Lonchura striata: one gene and its partner. The protein of the gene in region 1 purifies or fractionates together with the protein of each later gene. This does not show direct contact. Links are inferred from orthologs where the notes say so. Each region holds a gene or a part of one and is shown on either strand. Other genes may lie near its edges.

What was found.
Region 2: the proteins of PNKP (region 1) and XRCC4 purify together in Homo sapiens (co-immunoprecipitation; 5 studies listed by BioGRID and IntAct, counting the BioPlex papers as one, with this or other methods). This does not show direct contact. The link is inferred for Lonchura striata from reciprocal best matches to the Homo sapiens genes PNKP and XRCC4.

Annotation. Positions count from the first base shown.
Region 1 is NC_134640.1:2,119,196-2,127,591, forward strand, and holds the start of PNKP (bifunctional polynucleotide phosphatase/kinase), read right to left. Parts: upstream 3,212-8,396; coding exon 3,094-3,211; intron 1,976-3,093; coding exon 1,929-1,975; intron 834-1,928; coding exon 561-833; intron 1-560. Other genes in the region: KCNA7 (potassium voltage-gated channel subfamily A member 7), read right to left, coding at 5,366-6,140. UniProt on the Homo sapiens protein: Plays a key role in the repair of DNA damage, functioning as part of both the non-homologous end-joining (NHEJ) and base excision repair (BER) pathways.
Region 2 is NC_134642.1:85,602,656-85,610,397, reverse strand, and holds the start of XRCC4 (DNA repair protein XRCC4), read left to right. Parts: upstream 1-4,251; 5' UTR 4,252-4,273; intron 4,274-7,742.

The DNA of each region.
Region 1 (8,396 bases):
GGGTTGTTTGGGGGTTTTTGTGAGGGAAAAAGGGGTGCTTTGAGATTTGGGGGGGCTGAGGGGTCCTGGGAGGGGATTTGGGGGGATCTGAGGGGTCCTGGGAGGGGATTTGGGGGGTCTGAGAATGTTTGAGGGGTCCTGGGATGGGATTTGAGGGGTCTGAGTGCATTGAGGGATCTTGGGGTGGGATTTGGGGGGGTCTGAGGGGTCCTGGGAGGGGAATTGGGGGGTCTGAGTGCATTGAGTGGTCTTGGGGTGGGATTTGGGGGGGTCTGAGTAATCCTGGGGTGGGATTTGGGGGGGTCTGAGGGGTCTTGTGGTGGGATCTGGGGAGTCTGAGGGGTTCTGGGGTGGGATTTGGGGGCTCTGAGGTGTCTGGAGTGCGATTTGGGGAGATTTTGGGGGGCTCAGGGGTTTGTGGGCTGAAGTTTGGGGAGCCCCATGGGGGTTGGGGGTTTGAGGGGGGAATTTGGGGGGGTCTCTGAAATGGGGAGGGGGGGGGGGGCTGGGCACAGGACCCCCAAATCCCTCCCCCCAAAATCCCCCCCCCCCGCCCGTACCTTCGTGCTGGGCCGGAGCCCTGAGGGGGTGAAGATGAGGAGGGGTCCCAGTTTCTGCCACCCCCCCCGGGAGGGGCTTTGGGGGTCTCTGCGGGCCGGGGGGGGCTCCTCGGGGGGGCTGGCGGGGCGTTTTTTGGGGTGGGGGGTCCCCTCGAAGTGCAGCACCAGGGGGTACCTCCCGTTCACCAGCAGCAGCGTCTGCCCGGGGGCGAGGGTCCCGCAGCCCCCCCGGCCCAGCACCGAGCCCCCCACCGAGCTGGGGTTCACCCCACGCTGGGGAGGGAAGGGTTAAAGACCACTCCCCAAAAAAACCCACCCCAAAATCCCATAAATCCCACCCCAAAAAAAATGGGGTTCACCCCACGCTGGGGAGGGAAGGGTTAAAGACCCCTCCCCAAAAAAACCCACCCCAAAATCCCATAAATCCCACCCAAAAAAACTGGGGTACACCCCGCGCTGGGGAGGGAAGGGTTAAAGACCCCTCCCCAAAAAAACCCACCCCAAAATCCCATAAATCCCACCCAAAACCTGGGGTTCAACCCACACTGGGGAGGAAAGGGTTAAAGACGCCTCCCCAAAAAACCCAGCCCAAAATGAGCCCCAAAATCCCATAAATCCCCCCCACGACCCCCCAAAACCCCTCCAAGCACCCCCCAAATCCCCCCCAGGACCCCCCAAATCCCCCCCAGGACCCCCAAAACCCCTCCCAGGACCCCCCACATTCCCCGCAGGACTCCCCAAATCCCTCCCAGGACCCCCCAAAACTCCTCCAAGCACCCCCAAAACCCCTCTAGGACCCCCCAGATCCCCCCAGGACCCCCCAAAACCCCTTTAAGCACCCCCAAAATCCTACCAAGACCACCCAAAACCCCCCAGGACCCCCCAAAACCCCTCCCAGGACCCCCTAACCCCACCCAGGATCCCCCAATCCCCCCCAGGTCTCCCCAAATCCACCCCAGGACCCCCCAAAACCCTCCCCAGGACCCCCCAAAACCCTCCCCAGGACCCCCCAAATCCCCCCCAGGACCCTCCAAAACCCCCCAGGACCCTCCAAATCCCTCCCAGGACCCCGCAAAACTCCTCCAAGCACCCCCAAAACCCCTCTAGGACCCCCCCAAATCCCCCCAGGACCCCCAAAAACCCCTTTAAGCACCCCCAAAATCCCACTAAGACCACCCAAAAACCCCCAGGACCCCCCAAAACCCCTCCCAGAACCCCCCAAACCCCTCCCAGGACCCCCAAACCCCTCCCAGGACCCCCCAAATCCCCCCCAGGACCCCCCAAATCCCCCCCAGGTCCCCCCAAAACCATCCCCAGGACCCTCCAAAACCCCCCAGGACCCCCCAAATCCCCCCCAGGTGCCCCCACCTGTGTGACCCGGGCCGTGCCCTCGGCGTAGTTGGCCACGATCTCCACTGTGGGGAGGGGGCAGATTTGGGGATCCCCCCTGAGCCCCCCAAAATTCGGGGAGGGGGAACCCACAAAAGTGTCCCCAGAGCCTGGAGGGGGGTTTGGGGGGGATTTGGGGGGTCCTGAAGGTGAAAGTTGGGGGTTCTGAGAATGAAATTTGGGGGTTTTGGGGGTGAATTTGGGGATTCTGGGGGGGGTGAATATTTAGAGGTCCTAGGGGGAAACTTTGGAGGTCTTGGGGGGCAAAATTTGAGGGTCCCAGAACGTTAAATCTGGGGGTTCTGGGGGGCGACTTTGGGGCTTTTGGGGGGTAAAATTTGGGGGTCTTGGGAGTTGAATTTGGGGGTCCTGAGGGGGAAATTTGGGGATTATGGGGTGAAATTTGGGGGTTCTGGGGGTGAAATTTGGGGATCACATGGGCTGCAACTTGAGAGTCTTTGGGAGAAATTTGGGGATCATGGGGGTGAAACTTGGGGGTCCTGGGGTGGAATTTAGGGGTCCCAGAGGGGGAATTTAGGGGTCGTGGGGGGGGGATATTTAGGAGACCTGGGGGGGAAAATTTGGGGGTCTTGGGTGGGAATATTTGGGAGTCCTGGGGGTGAATTTGGGGGTCCCAGAGGGTGAATTTGAGGGTCCTGGGGGGAGAATTTGGGCGGTGAATTTTGGGGTCCTGACGGGGAATTTGTGGCACCTGGGGGGTGAATATTTACAGGTCCTGGGGGAGAATTTGGAAGTGAATTTGAGAGTCCTGAAGGTGAATTTGGGGGTCCTGGGAGGTGAATTCGGAGGTGAATTTGGGGGTCCTGGGGCGGGAATATTTGGGGGTCCTGAGAGTGAATTTGGGGGTCCTGGGGCAGGAAACGTGGGGGTTCTGAGGGTAAATTTGGGAGCCCTGGGGGAGGAATATTTGGGGGTCCTGAGGGTAAATTTGCAGGGTGAATTTGGGGGTCCTGGGAGGTGAATTTGGGGCTCCCGTGGGCAGAGGGCACGGCGGGTCCTGGGAGGGTCCTGAGGGGGTCCCGGGGAGGTTCTGAGGGGGTCCTGAGGGGGTCCCGCTGGCTCTGAGGGGGTCCCGGTTCGGGTTCGGGTCCCGGGAGGTCCCGGGGGGGTTCCCCGCACCCACCCTGCTGCCGGGAGCACTTGCGGTCGGTGACGCCGGTGAGCGGCCCGCGGCCCAGCAGCACGGGCTGCCCGTCGGGCAGCGGCACGGGCCCGGCCAGGCCGCGCAGCTCGGCCCGCATGGCGGCGGCGGCGGGACCCGAACCGGCACCGGGACCCGAACCGGGAGCGGCGCCGGAGCCGCCCCGGCCCCGCCGCCTCCTCCCGGCGCCGTGACGTCACTTCCGCCACGCAGCCCCGCCCCTTTGCTCCGTTCCCGCCTTTTTTTGCCCTTGCACGCTGCAAAGCCACGCCCCTTTGTTCCTAAGACACGCCCCTTTATTTCTAAGCCACGCCCCCTCAGGGCCGCGCCTCTTTTGGCGCCTGCGAGGCGACTTCCGGTGCTGCTACGCCGCCGCTTCCGGTGGGTGGAGTGGCATCGCGCCCCCTGGCGGTGGAGGACTGGGTGGGTCCTCCAAGGGTGGGTGGGAGAATGGGAGGGGACTGGGATGGACTGGGAGGGACTGGGATGGACTGGGAGGGGTTTGAGGGGCACTGGGAGGGGTTTGGGGGTCGCTGGGAGGCACTGGGAGGGGACTGGGAGAGGTTTGGGGGTCACTGGGAAGGACTGGTTTGGACTGGGAGGGGTTTGAGTGGCACTGGGAGGGGTTTGGGGGTCGCTGGGAGGGGACTGGGAGGGGCTGGGAGAGGTCTGGGGGGCACTGGGATGGACTGGGAGGAACTGGGAGGGGTTTGAGGGGTACTGGGAGGGACTGGTTTGGACTGGGAGGGGTTTGGGGGGCACTGGGAGGGACTGGGAGGGGTTTGGGGGCACTGGGAGGGGACTGGGAGGGGCTGGGAGAGGTCTGGGGGGGACTGGGAGGGGTTTGGGGGTCACTGGGAGGGGTTTGAGGGGACTGGGAGAGGTCTGGGGGTCACTGGGAGGGGACTGGTTCGGACTGGAAGAGGCTACCTGGGGGGGTCACCCCTCCCCACCCCAAGCTGGGACCCCAAAATACGAACCTGCTGACTCAGCATGACCCCCCCGTGACCCCCCCGTGACCCCCCCACGACCCCCGCTGTGCCACCAAGTGTCACCTTTATTGCCGGGGTGGGAATGGCGGGGGTCAGCAGGGGTGGCCTCGGTGGCCTCGGTGTCCCCTGTGGGTCCCGAGGTGGCCTCGGTGTCCCCATGGAGCTCTTGTACCCCCCCCCCACCCCCCAGTTTGGCTCTGTTCGCCCCAGTTCATCCCAGTGCCCCCCCCCAGTTCGTTGTGGTGCACCCCCAGTTCATCCCAGTGCACTCCCAGTTCGTCCTGGTGCACTCCCAGTTCATCCCAGGGCTCCCCAGTTTGTTCTGGTGCACCCCCAGTTCATTATGGTGCACTCCCAGTTCATCCCAGTTCATCCCAGCGTGCCCCAGTTTGCCCTGGTGCACTCCCAGTTCATCCAGGTGTGCCCCAGTTTGCTCTGGTGCATTCCCAGTTCATCCCAGTGCCCCCCAGTTCATCCAGGTGCACTCCCAGTTCATCCCAGTGCGCCCCAGTTTGCTCTGGTGCATTCCCAGTTCATCCTGGTGCACTCCCAGTCCATGCTGGTGCATTCCCAGATTGTCACAGTGTCCCCCAGTTTGTTCTGGTGCACTCCCAGTTCATCCTCACTCGTTCCAGTTCATCCAGGTGCACTCCCAGTCCATCCCAGTGCACTCTCAATTCATCCAGGTGCACTCCCAGTCCATCCCAGTCCATCCAGGTGCACTCCCAGTGCCTCCCAGTCCATACTGGTGCACTCCCAGTCCATGCTGGTGCACTCCCAGTGCATCCCAGTCCATCCTGGTGCACCCCAATCCATCCAGGTGCACTCCCAGTCCATCCCAGTCCATCCAGGTGCACTCCCAGTGCCTCCCAGTCCATACTGGTGCACTCCCAGTCCATACTGGTGCACTCCCAGTCCATGCTGGTGCACTCCCAGTGCATCCCAGTCCATCCTGGTGCATCCCAGTCCATCCAGGTGCACTCCCAGTCCATCCCAGTCCATCCAGATGAACTCCCAGTGCCTCCCAGTCCATCCAGGTGCACTTCCAGTTCATTCCAGTTCATCCCAGTGCATTCCAGTCCATCCCAGTCCATCCAGATGCACTCCCAGTGCCTCCCAGTTCATTCAGGTGCACTCCCAGTGCACCCCAGTCCATCCAGGTGCACTCCCAGTCCATCCCAGTCCATCCAGATGCACTCCCAGTGCCTCCCAGTTCCTCCCAGTCCATCCCAGCCCGCCCCCCACCCCGCCGCCCCGCCTTGTCACACCTCGGTCACCAGCCTGCCCCCGGCCCAGCCCTTCTGGCCGCCGGCCTCGCCGTCCACGCCCCAGCCCGGCCCCTGCCCGGCGCCCGCCTTGTCCTCGGCGTCGCCGGCGGGCTCGGGGTGGTGCGGGCAGGGCGCGGCGGGCACCACGGCGCCGCTCTCCTCGCCGCGCAGCTCGCGCCGGTAGAAGTAGGAGAAGTTGGAGACGATGACGGGCACGGGCAGCGAGATGGTCAACACGCCCGCGATGGCGCACAGCGAGCCCACCAGCTTGCCGCCCACCGTCACCGGCGCCATGTCCCCGTAACCCACCGTGGTCATGGTGACCACCGCCCACCAGAACGCCTGCGGGATGGAGGTGAAGGCCGTGGCCGCGTCTTCGGCCTCGGCGAAGTAGACGGCGCTGGAGAAGAGCACGACGCCGATGAGGAGGAAGAAGATGAGCAGGCCCAGCTCCCTCATGCTGGCCTTGAGGGTCTGGCCCAGGATCTGCAGGCCGGTGGAGTGGCGGGACAGTTTGAAGACGCGGAAGACGCGCACCAGGCGGATGACGCGCAGCACGGCCAGCGACATGGCGGGCTGGCCGATGCCGCGCTGCCGCGCCAGCTCGGTGCCCAGCGCGATGAAGTACGGCGCGATGGCCGCCAGGTCGATGAGGTTCATGGCGCTGCGGAAGAAGGCCGCCTTGCTGGGGCTGGCCACCAGCCGCACCAGCAGCTCCAGCGAGAACCAGCAGATGCAGACGGTCTCCACCAGGAAGAAGGGGTCGGTCAGGCCGGAGCGGTGGGGAGGGGGCGTGGGGGTGGTGGTGTTGGTGGGGGTGGGCGAGGGGGGCTGTGGGGAGAGAGGAGAGAGGTGGGGGGTGAGATGGAGGTGGGGGAAACGCCCGAATCCGGCAGCCGGAACCCCAAAGTCAATGCCCAGAATGGGTTAATGGGGGTGGAGACCACCCAAACCCCAGATCCACCACCCAAAATGGGTTAAGGGGGGCTGGAGACCCCCAAAATGGGTTAACAGGGGTTGGAGACCACCCAGATCCCCAGATCCACCACCCAAAATGGGTTAACAGGGGTTGGAGACCACCCAGATCCCCAGATCCACCTCCCAAAATGGGTTAACGGGGGTTGGAGACCACCCAAACCCCAGATCCACCACCCAAAATGGGTTAAGGGGGGCTGGTGACCACCCAAACCCCAGATCCACCACCCAAAATGGGTTAATGGGGGTTGGAGACCACCCAAACCCCAGATCCACCACCTAAAATGGGTTAAGGGGGGCTGGAGACCCCCAAAATGGGTTAACAGGGGTTGGAGACCACCCAGATCCCCAGATCCACCACCCAAAATGGGTTAAGGGGGGCTGGAGACCACCCAAACCCCAGATCCACCTCCCAAAATGGGTTAACGGGGGTTGGAGACCACCCAAACCCCAGATCCACCTCCCAAAATGGGTTAAGGGGGGTTGGAGACCACCCAAACCCTAGATCCACCTCCCAAAATGGGTTAACGGGGGTTGGAGACCACCCAAACCCAGATCCACCTCCCAAAATGGGTTAAGGGGGGCTGGAGACCCCAAAATGGGTTAACGGGGGTTGGAGACCACCCAAACCCCAGATCCACCTCCCAAAATGGGTTAATGGGGGTTGGAGACCACCCAAACCCCAAAGTGACCGCCCAGAGGGGGTTAACAGGAGTTGGAGACCCCAAAAATAGGTTAATGGGGGTTGGAGACCACCCAGACCCCAAAGTGACCACCCACCCACCCACTGTGGGTCAGCGGGGTTGGAGGATGAAGATGAGGATGATGATGAGGATGAGGATGAGGATGAGGAGGATGATGATGATGATGATGATGATGATGATGATGATGATGATGATGATGAAGAGAACGCTGATGAATATGAGGGTGAACACAAGGGTGGTGGCAACAGGGACACTGAAGATGATGAGGATGATGAGGATGATGAGGATGAAGATGGCCATGATGAGGACACTGAAAATGATGAGGATGATGAGGACGGTAACAGTGACACCAAGGACAATGAAGATGAAGGTAGCCATGATGAGGATGATGAAGATGAGGATGAGGATGGTGACAATGACACTGAGGATGATGAGGATGATGAGGATGATGAGGAGGAAGATGTGAAGATGGCCATGATGAGGACACTGAAGATGAGGATGAGGATGGTGACCATGACACTGAGGACGATGAAGATGAGGATGTCCACAATGAGGACACTGAAGATGAGGATGGTGACCATGACACTGGGGATGATGAGGATGATGAGGACGGTGATAATGACATTGAGGATGAGGATGATGAAGATGGTGACCACGACACCGATGATGAGAATGATAAGGATGAGGATGTTGTCAATGACACCAATGATGATGATGATGACGATGATGGTGACAATGACACCAAGGACGATGAAGATGAGGATGTCCACAATGAGGACACTGAAGATGAGGATGATGAAGATGATGTCAGTGACACCGAGGACGATGAGGATGAAGATGATGAAGATGATGACAAGGACCCCGACAATGAGGATGATGAGGATGAGGATGGTGACAATGATGCTGATGAAGAAGATGGTGACAACTGCACCAATGATGAAAATGATGAAGGTGACAATGACACCAACGATGAAGATGATGAAGATGGTGACAATGACACCGACAACGAGAATGATGAGAATGAGGATGGTGACAGTGACACCAATGATGAAGATGGTGACAATGACACCAACGATGAAGATGATGAAGATGGTGACAACGACACCGACAATGAGGATGAAGATGACAATGACAGTGACGATGAAGATGATGAAGATAAAAATGACACTGATGACGAAGTTGATGAGGATGGTGACAACGACACCAACAATGAGAATGATGAAGATAAAAATGACACTGATGATGAAGTTGATGAAGATGGTGACAACACCAATGAGGAATACGATGAGAATGGTGACAATGACACCGACAATAAGGATGATGAAGATGACAATGACACTAATGAT
Region 2 (7,742 bases), on another chromosome or scaffold:
TGTCTTCCCCCATTAGAGAAAAGCAATATTTTAAATAACCCATTTTTTTTTAAGTAACTCTCCTATCTGAACTTGCATGCCACACTGTTTAGTTCACCACGAATTTAGTACTGAAAACCGAAAAAACAGTAAAACCTCTGTGTGTGAATGGAAGAGGTAAGGGTCATACTAAAGCACTCTTGGAATCAGGTGATATCCTTACTATAATAAAAGCAGCGTTCAAAAAAAGGAGTTTGCAACAGAAGATGCTACAGGAATTTGCACATGGCCATGGGAAAATCTCTTAACTTCTCAAAAAAGAAGATATATTCTAATTTACCTAAAAGCTGCAAAACAGAACTATAAATATTTTACATGTACTATTTACCAAAATTTTTTTTTTGCTCATTCAGTCAAACCATCTCTTTCAAAAATGAAGAACAAATACCAAGAAAAAATATACTTAGTTAAGAAACAATGACAAGTTCTGCTAAATCAGTCATGTCCCTTGGCCCTGGGCAGGTCCACAGCACCTCTGCAAGTCTCTTGTTTGGCAGAGGTTCACATGCATGGTTTGAATATTTAGCATCTGGAAGACAGGTAATATTTTTCACAGCTGTTCCCACCTTGTTTCCACAGTCACCAGGTTGAAAATCAAAAACTTTTGTTGAGTTTGAACGCCTGGCTCTGTGCATTAGCAGAAAAACATATTCAGTGCTGCAGCTCTTACAATGAATGTGTATGGTGTCTAATGCTGCAAGCAACCAAAAAACTAAATTGTGACATTCATTTTTTTATGGCACTCAGCAAAGAAATGGTTTCTCACAACTAGAGTGATTCTGGGTAAATCTGTTAAAGCAGACTCACTACATCCTACTCTTCCAAAAAGAGACCATCTTACCCTGACAGAATAATTTCCTCAGTTCAATAATCACAGACATAAAACATTGACAATGTACTTTCACATCATCCTCTAAGATGATAGAAGTATCTACTCTGAACACTTCAGGTGAAATAAATTCACAATACAAAGACACTCTAAGATTGTAGTGTGACCTAGAAGACATTTTTAAACCTATGTACCTTTAGGTCATGATAAAACAAAGCTGCTAGCAAATCTCAATGAAGATTGATTCATTCTTGTAATTCTGAATAAGACAAACACAAAACTTTGTACTTGAAGAGTCCTGAAAGCTCCTTTTTCAGAGCACTGTCTTGGATTCTGGTATGTTTATATCCAACAGCTTGGTTTTAAATAATATTTACTAATGAATGTTTTTACAATTGGATCTATGAGCAACTCCCCTTCCTTCTATAAACACCACACTAAGAGAGCAATAAAGACTGAGACCAAAATGTTTGTCCTTGTGGAAAGTTCCCAAGTCAATTTTTGGGTAGTAATGCGGGGCCAGGATCAGCCCCAACCAGAGGGTGACAGAGAAGAAGCCGTTTTTGTCAAGTTTTCTGTACTTCTTTTGAATTTTCTCCACCATCAAATTCTAACTTCACATTTCTGCTACGAAGGAAAGTGAAGACCACCCTTCAGGAGGGGAGAAGCTCCTCATTAACTTCAATATTGCCTTTGGCTTCTTCCCTTTTTCCATCCATGCACATGGCAAACTTTTCAAGCCCACCACAAAAACTTCTGTCGAGGTTTCAGGTGTAAAATCCTGAAAGCTGGCAGGGCAAACTGATTTGTGGAAGTCAGGAAACAATACAGGTTCTGCTCCTCAATAAATGAGGGAGCCCTGCATCCCTGGTGCATCCCATTTGGAATCCACTGAGAAGCTTCTACTGGTTTCCATAGCTGCTTTAAGTTAAAATAGCGAAGGTTTTGCTTTAAGTCAAAATGATGAGTTTTTTCCCTATCCACTGGCAGTGAAGAGGAAAAAAAATCCCACAATTTCTGCTTTCACACAGAAGAAAAAACAGGTGAAAGTAAGCTTATACATATATATAATTTTTTTTTCCTGTTTGGCAGCAACTGGCCCTTCACCCAGCTCATGTTCTCATCTGCTTAGTAAGAAAGGATGTGGTAAAGAATCTTGGAAAGCAATGGATTGAAAAGTTTCCAAGGCATAAAGTCCTTTGGAAATCATGCTTCAGAATATTATAGAATATAGAATATTCAGAGTGCTGCTAGCATGCCAGAACTGCAGCTCTTACTCTTTGGACAAAGAGAATAAATTAGAGATGTAGCTCTAATCTCTTTAATTTCATGACACACAGCAGCTGTTTCCTCTCTCACAGTCAAATGTGAGGTCAAAAATTATCCTTTTTTTTCCCTGAAATGCCTTGACATTAGAGGTGGCATCATGGACAACACAAAGTCCTGGAGGATTGCTGCTCTCTTGAAGAAATTCAAACATCACAATAATGCTATAGGAACTTATTTTCACTATTAAATCATAAGCAAACCATCCTTACAAGAGTTTCTTGCTTCAGGGTCCTTGAGGCACACAGAGTAACCTCTAGCAAGGAAAAGAGACAAGTGGAGGAGATAATCTTAGCAGAATCTCATACACTTTCCATAACCTTCTTAGATTTAAACATTACTTTTGTTTTTAAGTTATTGTTATATATTTCTTATATATCACTAATAAAATAGATAAAATATAAATGACATAATAATACAATGTTAAGTAATTAGTTGCATTTAATCATTACACTGCGCAACACCAATGTTCCACCAAGATCTCTTCCCATTTTAAAACATATTCTGTGCTGAAGTTATGGATAAACATGTACTTTGTACAGGAAAAAAACCTAAGTTAACTCAGTTATTCCTTTTAATTTTAAATTTGTGTATCTGCTCTGCTCATATAAATGTTGTTGATAAATAAATATTTAATGTACAAACCTTGACTAAGAAAAAGTATTTCATTGTGACAGAGATGTAAACCCTTATTTTGTATTACCTGCACAGAGACTGGAAAAATGGGGAGGAAACAAACAAAAAAAAAAAACCAAAACAATTTGCCTCTAGACCAACTTTACATAAAAAATGTATGTATTTATACACATATATTTTAAATAAATATATATATATACATACATACATATATATGTATTAAAAAAATATACAAACCCCACAGTGTTTATGTGGCTGGATTATAGAAAAAGGTATATTGGTTATATATGTGTATTATATAACATATAATACACAATTATTAAAATATTCAATTATACATTTACATACCCCCATAAATATATAGATAAATATCTCTGTATCCACATTTATTTGTTATACACATAATAAACTCGTACATAAGCAAAGATATTATCTTCCAGATGTACTTATCTGGTTTTTATGTATTTACACCTCTTAGCTATTCATGTAACTATGAATAAATTTAAGAATATGCATTTTTATGTTGTTATATTGCATGTACATCTATACTCTTAAAAATCGTATGTACCATATATATACCCGCTATATATATATATATGCTGTAAACATATAATTTTTTAATAAATATAAAGGCTATGTATATATGTATGCATACATAGTTAAAAATGCTACACATATACATACATATATATACATACATATGTATAAATAAAGGTATATATATATAAAATAGATAAAATATAAAAATACAAAATGTAATATATATATATTTTTAAAAAATATGTATTTTTATAAATAATCCACAGTTTTCATGAATAAGTGGACCTGAGCCTCTGATGACCTCTGATGACCCCTGAAGAGCAGCCAATGACGCAGCTCAGCGCACTGCACTGAGCATGACGTCACACAACGCAACCATGACGTCACGCAGGACAATACGTGACGTCAGGAGGCCGCGAGAGATACGCCCAGCACCTGACCGACCTCGCACCGGCCCCGCACAGACGCAAACCGGGTTTTTTTTTCCCTGTCACGCAAACCCGCCCCGCGCGACTCCCAGCAAAGCCCTGAGGCGGCTCCGCTCCCGCGGGCCGCGGGTCACGCCGTGAGCGACCTGAGGGGGCGGCGCTCGGGCCGGGAGGCGCCGCTGGGCACCGGGGGAGGCCGGGGAGCGGCGAGGGCCCGGCCCGGAGCGGGCAGGGCCGGGCGGGCCCCGCTCTTACCATCGCGCCGCGCTCCGCCACATCACCTTCCGGCCGCCGCCACGGGCGGAAGCGCGCACCGCGCGCCCTCAGCGCGCCGGGGCGCGGGCGCGGCCGCCATTGGCTGGCGGCGCCGCGGGGCGCTGCGATTGGTCGGCGCTGCCGGCGGAGGGGCGGGATATACGGGCGGACGCGGCGTTGATTGGTTGGCGCGGAGCAGGCGGAAGTGGCGGCGCGGGAGGTAGGTCGGGCGGCCCGCCCCGCGCGCGCGGCACGGGCGGGACTGAAGGGAGTGCGGGGGGATGTCCCGATGTGGGGATAATCGGGATAACCGGGATCAACCCTGAACTGACCCCTCACAACACTGAGGGGAGCGGGGCACGGTCCGTGTCCCGGTGTGCGGATAACCGGGATCACCGGGATCAGCCCTGAACTGACCCCTCGCAACACTGAGGGGAGGAGGTGGATCCTTGAGTGTGTCCCGGTGTGGGGATAACCGGGATCAACGGGATCAACCCTACACCGATCCACGGGGGCCACGCATCTATCTATTTATTTATTTATTTATTTATATGTACTATATATATATATATATGTGCTCTCTCTCTCTATATATATATATTTATTTATTTATATATACTATATATATATATGCTCTCTCTCTCTCTCTCTCTCTATATACTATATACTATATATATATATATATATATATATATATATATATATATATATATATATATCTGTGTGTGTGTGTGTGTGTGTGTGTATAGTGAGACGCTGGGGTGAAAAAAACAAACAAAAAACCAACAGAAAAACCCCAAAACTCAAAAAAACCCCCAAAAAACCAAACCAAAGCAAACGAACAAACAAACAAAAAAACAACAAAAAAAAACCCCAAACAAACCCCAAACCCCCCCCAAAAAAGGAAAAAACAAAAAAAAAACAACAAAAAACCCCCCAAAACCCCACCAAAACAAACAAAAAAAAAACCATCCCCCCCAAAAAAAACACAAAAAAAACAAAAGAAAAAAAAAAAACAAACAAAAAAACCTAGCAAAAAAAAGACCCGAAACAGCCCAACCAAAAAAGCAAAACCAAAACAACTTAAAACCCCCACGAAAAACTAAAAACGACAGAAAAACCCCACATACAAACAAAAACATACAAAAAACCCCTGCAACAACTGGTTCTTTTGGTGGTTTTTGGTGGTTCTTTTCGGTTGTTCGCTGGTACTCGGCTCCCAGCGGGTGTTGCCTCGCCCGAGGGTGTGAGCCACTGGCTACTGAAGCCGTAATAATATAAAGAACGCCTTAATGAGGCTGTTTATTAATTAGGGCCCTCTTACTGTTAGTTCTAGTGTTGTATAGGGAGAGCCCAGACTGTTCTGTTGAATTTTGGCTCCTGTGCTACGTTTTCTCCTTTTAGAGCTATTCATCTTTTCTGTAGCTGCACCTGCCCAAGAATTCCTTTTTTTTTTCCTCCAGGAGCCTTTTTTGTTTGTTTTGCTTTGCTTTGTTTTGTTTGTGTTTGCTTTGTTTTGTCTGTTTGTTATTCCCTTGACAACAACTTCTTGTTGTTGAGGGGATAACCTTTGATGCTGCGAGAGCTCAGTAAAATGAAGGCGTCACTGTAGAATTTTCACAGTGATGAAACTCCTGAAGTGTTATGAGGAACCTGTTCCTCCTTATAAATATGGTTTTATAAACCACCCACCTTCCCAATGTGGTGACTTGGTTTTGGGGTCTGTTTCATTCTCTTGTGTTTCAGCACCAAATTCATGCTATTCTGCTGAGTGTGGGACAGGTTTGCTTTTTCCTTTGGTGAGGATGAACAGATTTTTTTCCCCTCTCTAAAATGACATTTTGAGGTAACATTTGAGATACTTTTTGCAGCTGCTGTGGGAGCATGTGCATGTATAAAATGCATTTATCCCATGGAATTGAGGCAGTGGTTTACTGAAGCAGAGGACTTGAAGCTGAGGCCTACAACAATCCACTGAAAATGCTGTTTATGTCTTCTACAGAGCAGTGGTAGATTTGGTCACTGTAAATTGACAGATCTCTGTGAAATCGTGGTTTCAGATTCATAATCACCAAAATTTACCTGGGATGTTACCTGCACAAGCAGGTGTAAGTTTGAAGTGGGTTCTCTCATCTGACTTTTTTGTGTCCTGTGGACTTCAGGCAATGTGTTGATTCTGAATTTGTTCTGATGTTTCTCTAGGTTGTTTAGTGCCTGTAAAGGTTCATTCAGTTGCAGATTTAACCATCTGTCTAACAGGTAGTCAGCATCTTGCTGTGTGCTCATTTTCTCATAGCATGTTCATACATTTTATTCCCGTTACTGAATTAAATTCACTGAGGTTGTTTTCCTTCCATCACATGTCAAGGTTTTGGATTTAAAAAAATCATTAAGTGCATAAAGACAATTCTAAAAATAGCCTTATTACCTAGGATAGCTTCACTTTGAAGTGTTTGAATGATGTTACATTGAAGTATGTTTGTAAAGAGAAATAAGTTTTTAGTATAATCACTGACCATTACAGCCTTTGATGGTCAACATGACTGAAGACTTTAAAGGCAGTAATACTTTTGAACTATTTTTTTTGTGTGTGTATGTGTCAGAAATAGAAGGCAAAAACTGGGTTGTTTTGCCTGCTTGGACTCACTTCTGGATGCTCAGTGTGAACTAGAAACTCAAATTGAAAATATTCTGTAAAGTCCAGGGAGACTCCTGGTGTCAGTCCTTGTTCACACCATAGCCAACCTGCTTTCAGGTGGTCATCTAGCTTCCTCTAGTGTAGTTTTGTTTGCAAACATGCCCTTTTATGATCGATTTATTAATATTTCTTTCTACTTTTATAGTTTCTGCTGAATTCCCACCTGAAACCCATTGCAGATTTTTCCAAATATTGCTCTTTATTTACCCTAGACATTTAATTTCCAAGTGAGGTTTCCAACAGTCTCAGCTATTTAAAAGGGAATTTTCACTGATCATGTGCCATATTGAAATTATTTCAGGTGAACAATTTGCTGTGGTGGGAAAAATGCCATTTAAAGATTTTGTGGAAGCCTTGGTGGTGTAATTCAAAAGATTGGTGCAACTAGCCTGGAAGTGTCTTCTGTGTGACAGGCATAGGATATTGATTGGAAAATCAGCTTTCAGATGGTGTTGTTCCAATTTCCCTTGTTCTTTTTGTCCCTCCTAATTAATATCTTGTCATGGAAAAACAGCTCTGAGGAGCTGGGACAACTTGTTTGGTGTTGTCTGCAGGAATGGGCTGGGTGGACAAAATAAAAAAAAAAAATAGATCATAAATTTAAACAACTACATCGATCTACATAGCAATATTCAGATATTTAAATAAAAACTCAGGATGAATACTGTTTTTTTTTTGTTGCTGTTAGGTCCCTTAAGAACAGTGTTCATGGTTGTGGCTGTGTGTCCTGCTATTGAGAAATATTTTAGTGGTGAAAGGCTTATATACTGTTCAGTTGAGTAGTAGAGCACACCAAGGAATTTGTGTCTATAATGAAAGGTAAAAAAAGGTTTAACTTTCTAGGCTGTTTCCAGATGCAGGAAAAATTACCACGGAGCAATGACAATTGCATGTGGAAGCCTTGGTTTTTATCTCCTGTGTGTTTTACCTTTCATCAGGAGGTGAATTGTAGGAAATGGTTTTAAAAATATCACTGGTGGGCGGCTGACAT